Linked DNA regions of Oryza sativa Japonica Group. The protein of the gene in region 1 interacts with the protein of each later gene in a pairwise test. Links are inferred from orthologs where the notes say so. Each region holds a gene or a part of one and is shown on either strand. Other genes may lie near its edges.

The links.
Region 2: the proteins of probable rRNA-processing protein EBP2 homolog (region 1) and zinc-finger homeodomain protein 11 interact in binary tests that used the Arabidopsis thaliana proteins (3 or more experiments, as listed by UniProt). The link is inferred for Oryza sativa Japonica Group from reciprocal best matches to the Arabidopsis thaliana genes AT3G22660 and HB32.

Annotation. Positions count from the first base shown.
Region 1 is NC_089041.1:17,360,147-17,363,622, forward strand, and holds probable rRNA-processing protein EBP2 homolog, read right to left. Parts: upstream 2,385-3,476; 5' UTR 2,242-2,384; intron 1,875-2,241; 5' UTR 1,870-1,874; coding exon 994-1,869; 3' UTR 741-993; downstream 1-740. UniProt on the Arabidopsis thaliana protein: Required for the processing of the 27S pre-rRNA. Plays an important role in plant growth and senescence by modulating ribosome biogenesis in nucleolus. Associates with ribosomes.
Region 2 is NC_089037.1:29,969,167-29,972,644, reverse strand, and holds zinc-finger homeodomain protein 11, read right to left. Parts: upstream 1,746-3,478; 5' UTR 1,398-1,745; coding exon 681-1,397; 3' UTR 580-680; downstream 1-579. UniProt on the Arabidopsis thaliana protein: Putative transcription factor.

The DNA.
Region 1 (3,476 bases):
GTCTGTTCGGCTGCGAAGCAAAGCATGGGCACTTTGCTAGTTCGCGTAAAAATTTCTATCAACATGATCGGACAGATAATATACAAGAAAAAAACACATCACAAGAATTATAGTAGCAGCTTCTTAACGCACTAGTGCAGCTGCAAGAGGTTATATAATACTAGCAGATATTTTCAGAGGATATGTTGTAACATGTAGTAGGCAATTGCTTTCAAATCATAGACAACCATCACCAGCAAAGAAGCAACATAAGCATGGGCTTCCATGCATCAAATCACTATCAGTATAGCTCATTCCAAGCTAATCGAGGTAAAGACCAAAAGGACACTGTAGCTATAATGCAAAAGTACTACTACCATATTCACGATCTTAATGGGAAATGGTATCCACTCCACATGGACATGCACATCCACCATGAAGAGCAAGGAAGCATCACAATCAAATGCAGTACAAAAGCAAGCTCTTTCTGAAATTCCATCACAACTAATGCAGTGAGGAAACTCACAAATGATATCATTCACTAGAAACTACAGGGAAAGAAACAAGGTAACCAAATGAGTTATGCTGATTGGAGTATAATCTAAGATAGAAGAGAGGGAGACTTGACTCACCAATAAACAAATTTACAACACAATAGGAAAGTGTTGTTTACGTTTCAGTTTTGTTGCATCAATATAAAATAACGGTCAGAAAGATAACATATCAAAACAGGAAGTGCACCAAGCATCCTTAAGACACTCTTAGGATAATTCCAGGGTAAGATTGATTCTTCCACATCACACAACGAAAAAGGGCCATCACCAGATACATGCAAATATCTTGTGGAGAACAGCATAGTTAAAACATAAAATGGTCTTTTGTTTTAACTGCCTCCTACAATCTATCTCAACTAACGTTCGCATCTAGCAACGATGTACTGCAGTAAAATAAAGTTACCAAAAACAACTAGTAATACAGCTCAAGGAAGCAGACGCAGATTCTTACAATATCGCGTCAACCCATTTTTCTCCTCTTGTTTTGTGACTTGTCCATCTGGTTGAATCCTCTGAAGTCATTTGTCGTCTCCGCAGTGTTTTGCTTCTTCAGCCCTTTCCGACCACCATGCCCAAACTTGGAATCCCTTGATTTCCTGTTCTTTCCTTGTTTACCCTTCTTAGCAAGACCACCAGACCTATCACCAGGAGAAACACCAGGCCTCTTTTTCTTTGATTGCTTGAACCCTTCGTCACCTTCAAAATTCAGATCTGGCCCATCATCATTTCCCTTGGCAAAGCCCCCTTGCTGCCTCTGCTTCCTCCACTTCTTGACGGACTCAATCTGTTCTTTCTTCTGCTTGGCCCTCTCCTTTTCTTTCTGTGCCTGCACCTCCTTCGCCCTCTTCTTGGCCTCTCTCGCCTTCTTCCTCTCCTCAGCCTCCTCAATCTTCTTCTTCTCAGACAAGAGCCTCCCCTTGATCTTGTGCATGTGAGCGTCGGTCTTAACCATCTCAGCATAGTAATCAGCCGGCCTGAGAAACCGGACCTTCATAGACTGCAACTTCTCAAAGGCCTGCCTCGTACCATCCAAAGCCTGCGTGTAGAACGCAAGCTCACGAGCAAGATCGTCGTTCACATCGACTTTCTCCCCCTGGTCATGTTCGATAGTGAGCTTGTGCCTCCAGTCCACATTCTCCGGCCACGCAATGTCCTCGAGCTTCTCCAGGATCCCCTCCTTGTTGTAGACAGCTTTCTTGGAAGGCTCGGCATGGAATTCCTCCCCTGAATCATCTTCCGACTCGGACTCTTCCTCGTCGGTATCAACATCATCATCATCATCATCCAATATGGCTTCATCGCGAACCAATGGGTCTTCAGCTGCAAGCCTTGCCATTGTCACTGCAGGATTGATAAATCAATCAGCACAATCCCATAAATGATAGGCACCACAGAATGCAATACATACAGATAAGTCAATCAAAACAATCATGCAGCACGAAGCTAAGAAAATGATAGTCACAATTGAATGATAATAACAGTCTAGTTTTTCTTCACTCCTTCAAAGGAGGAGCCGGGAGAGATTAGGGTTTATCCATTCGCTCGCTCCAGATACTTCATTACATGCATCTCAGTGATTATGTCTATATACTCGCGGCGGCATCAACGGCGACTCCGAACGGCAAGAACAAACACGCACGCGGTTCCCCTTGCCTCGGAGAAACCCAAACCATGGGGGGAAAACGGGGAGAGGGAAACCGATGCTCACCTGCCGGCCGGGGTGAATAGCGCGGAGCGGGCGGCAAGCGGAGGCCGATGGGACGGCGACGGCGCCGGAGGAGGAGCGGAGGCCGGCAGCGGAGAGGGGCGGCGCGCGCGGGGATGGAAACCACGCGGAGGCAGGAGCACACTACCTTTGTATATTGGATTTCTAGGGTTTTAGATTGTTTGGGCTATTGGGCCTTCGTGTGTTTATTGGGCCGGGCTGACCATGGGTCACAACAACACGGTGGTATAAACAGGAGGGATAAGTCCACCGGCCAACTCTCAACTTTATGTCGAGTTTGATCGACATCCATACTCCCAAATACCAGAAGTCTATACCCTAAACTGTATAAAACCATGCACCTTAGGTCCATAGCAGTATAGATCATATTTTTCCTTGTTTTCACTTACGTGGTAGATATTTGGGCCCACTTATCAGCATGTTATCACCAATGCCGTGTCAACGGAGTGAGCTCTCTCGTTGCCTGTTTGCTAGCTCCTGACGGCAGCAGCGTTTGCATAGAGGTTGATGATGACTCCACCGCTAGCGCCAAGTTCGCCATCTCAAGCCGGAGTGGTGGCTGGGCAGCCCCAGCCTCATGGTCGAGCCACGGTGCAGCCTTTAGATGGAGCAACAGCGCATCGGTTGGTTGGCCCCGACACGTAGAATCGGATAGCATTGAGGCACAGTCGCGTCTGGGCGGGCCCAACGCGTAGCAGTGGCCTGCCCTCAAGGCGCAACAATGGCACGCCGGCTTAGGCGGCTTGGATGCATGTGGCGGCATGGCCTTGAGCGTAGTGGTGATGGCCCTAGAGGTAGAGTGACGGCCCAGCACTAGCCCTCTCGTTACAGCGTGAATGGTGCAATCCGGCTCTAGCCCGCTCGTTACGACGTGAATGATTTGATTTGACCTTGATGAGCTGAGGGAGATGCAGTTCATGCACACCATCATCACAGCGTCGGTGTCTCTATCAATCGATGTCAGTGGACGCGCTGCAGGCGTAGGAGGACATCCTGCCAAACAGCCAACGAGAGCACGTTGAAACGGCATGGGTGACTCAGCATGTTGACATGTGGGCTCAGATATCTGCCACGTAAACAAAAATAGGAGGAAATGGGGTCTATACTACCATGGGACTCTAATTGTACGATTTTGTATAGTTTAGAGTTGAAGATTTCTGATATTTGAAATTAGAAATGTCAATCAAACCAAGTTAAGGGACGACAACTTATTCCTA
Region 2 (3,478 bases), on another chromosome or scaffold:
GTTGTTCGAAAAATCGAGTATTGAGGAAGTATAACACATTCAATGCAAATGTGGAATGCGTCTTTATTTCCGATGCTACTTTCTAGAAACAGCCTTTTAATTTTCTTTAGTAGTAGAAAATCATAGTGAAACCCAAATAAAATTAATTTCTCTACGCGGGAATAGAGATAAAGTTCAGTGCTAGTACATCACAAACTTTGGTGGTTACAAAAAAATGAAAGCGCGAACTTCCAATAGAATTAACAGAAGCAGTTTTCCAAAACTTTATGCCCATCTTGATTCTTGGCGTGCTATAAATTCATGCTTGCTTGATGTCGAATAAAAGAATAACAAAAGAAGCATGCCCTTCGTATGTACTACGTACTTCCTCAGTACAATGCATCTCTTTTGAGTAGTGAGCTTATGCAAGATATACAGGGAAATAAGAGGAGAAATTATGAAGCATCTCCTTTGAGTGTTACAACAAAATCGATTGACCAATGAATGATCATAATAACACACAATTAATTAGTGGCACCGTTAAAACAATCAATCTCATCAGCAAGAATCAACTCAGGGAAGCAAAAAATAAAAGAAATTAGCAAAAAAAAAGAGAGAGTTAATTAAATTGTGAATTATCCCACCCTAGCAATGCAATTGCAAATTTGCAATGCTGCCTGCATTACGTAAGTACGTGGCTCCTACATGCACATCTCGCTCCCCCTCACCTCCTCGTCGTCCTCGCCGTCGCCGCCCATCGCCGGCGACAAGCCCACCCCGACGTCGCCGCCGCCCCTGGTCGTCGACGACGACGTCTGGGCGCCTCCACCGGCGCCGGGGCCGCCGCTGCCGCCGCCGCCGCCGCCGCCGCCGGCCTTGTGGTTGTGCATCCACACCTTGAAGACCTGCCGGTTGACGCCGATCTCCCGGCAGAAGCGCGCCACCTCGTCGTCCCCGGGCGCGCGGCCGGGCTCCCGCTTCGGCATCCGCCACCCGAGCCGCTCCGCGAACCGCAGCATCCGCGCCTTCTGCTCCTCCGTGAACTTGGTCCGCGTCCGCCGCCTCCCCCCGGAGCCGCCGCCGCCGTCGACGCCGCCGCCGCCGCCCACCGCTCCTCCCATCGCCGCCATGTGCATGTATCCCGGCGGCCCGCCTCCACCGGGGGCCGGCAGCATTGGCGCGACGCCGACGCCGGCGCCTCCCGCCCCTCCGGCGGCGGCGGTGGCGCGGCCGTCGAGGAAGTCCTTCCGGTGGAAGTTGCGGTGGCAGCCGCACGCCGCGCAGAGCAGGCCCGCCGGGTGGCCGTCGTCGGGGGTGTACTCGCAGCAGCCGTCGTTCGCGTAGGTCCCCAGCTTCGCCGCGTGGTTGCGCATGCACTCCCTGTACACCTCCCGCGGCCGCTCCTGCTGCTGCTCCATTGCTGCTTCTTCCTCCTCCTCTAGTCCTCTCTATCTCGATCTGTCTCCGCCTCTCTCTGATCTACTTCTACTGCAGCTGCGATGTGGCGCGGTGAGCAGCAGCAGCTGGGCGCATGCAACGCGGTGCTTCGCTTTGCTAGGGTCTATGTGAGCGAGACGCCGAGAGCTATCGATGGCTAGCTAGCTGTGACTTTTTTGTGGGAGCTGGGTTGCATTGCACTTGCACACATGCGCGTATGGCTATCAGCGCCATGAGTAGCGGCAGCACTAGTAGAGCTGTAGTATCAAATGTATCTCATGATGTGTGGGGATGAAACGGGAGAGGGTGTTTGTTGTGGCTGGCCAGTTGGGAGCACGTCGATAAAAAAAAAAAGTTTGCTTTGCTTGCGATCTTCGCAGTTCTGGATTTGCTACGGACAGCACAGGCAGGGGCAGCTCACTGTTTGACTTCTACGGGGCTCTAATTGTTTTGAACAGAATCTTTTGAAGGTTTGGGTAGTCCATCATGTTTTGTTTGTATTAGAGATCTAGTACACTCTTTATAAGTTTTGGTTTAATTGGATGGGACGACGACTTGTTAATATCGTTACAGACTTACAGTGACAGGGCTCATTTGGTAGCAGAAGATCAATATAACGATTCTAACATTAAAATTTCTAAGTGAACGAGGGATGTGTTGAATTTCTAATAGAGTATAAGTAGAAAAGCCTCATGGGTTGTCCTAATAAAAAAACACAATTTAAATTTTCAAATTTAATTTCGAAGTTTAGTTTAAGATATTTTCAACGTAGTTTCTTTTTAGCATTGAATTTTAAATCGTTAATAACACACATATAAAAGTTTTACCTGTAAATTAGTTTTTATTTTCTAATAAACCTCATTAGAATATGTGAGCAATCGATGAGGCTGTAAAACAACATGAAAGAATATTTGAACCTTAATCTTCTTATAGCATAGAATTATTTATTTTTTGTTACGTGCTTTTGGCTTTACGATAATTGGGCAAAAAAAAAATATGCCTTGAATCAAATCAAATATTACCAAACTAACCCTTTTACCAAGCACTCCCGATTATGTAAATATCAGTAGTTCTATAACAATTCGAACGTTCCACCGTTGTGTTACTATAATTTGTTTGTGGGGGAGTGGGGACCTTAACTTGCCGTTTCCGGATACATCCTTTCTGCCTTGGTCATACGCCCCCATGTACCCGGAATGGCTACAAAACGGTGTTCATTATGTTATCCTGCCCGAGCTCACCGATCGAGATGATACTGATTAGGAGGAAAATTAATCAACTAATCAGCATCGGAAATGGGGTTGTGAGACCATGGCATTCATGCAACTATGCAAAGAGATATAGTAAAATGGAGCCAGCTTGTTCCCGGTGACGTACTAACGTGATTTCTTTCGTCTTAACAAAGTACTATAGTCCATTATTGCATAGTAGAAAATAGGAGTATTCTAGTGTAGGGATACAGAAACATGTGGTACTTGTAGGCGCTAAATCCACTTGTCGACGTGGATGCTCTATGTTTCTCCCGCGTGCCAGTGAATAATTTAGCTACAAAAAAAACGCTAGCGATCCAATGAGACCCACTCCGTTTTGCCGTTGGGCTAGCTTAGCTTGTTTTTTTTTTCTTAATCTTTGGCTCTTTTGGTTTCTTCCCAAAAGGGTATCAACTAGGAGGAGGAGGAACTCGGTGGTCCTCGCTCTCGCTGCCGCTGCATGCTGCAATATACAAATAATAATGATTGTATTAACAAAGATATCTGGTGACAAAAATCTAGTCGAAAACCCAGACGATTAGCTCGTGGTTAACGAACTATGGCCGCGTTTAGTTGTTTTAGAAAAGAAAAACGTATAAAGACACACATTTGAAGTATTAAATGTAGACTTATAACAAAATAAATTACAGATTCCGCACGTGAACTGCGAGACGAATCTGTTAAGCCTAATTAATCCATCATTAGCAAATATTTACTGTAGCACCACATTGTCAAATTATGACGTAATTAGGCTCAAAAGATCCGTCTAACAATTTACATGCAAACTGTGCAATTGATTTTTTTATCCACAT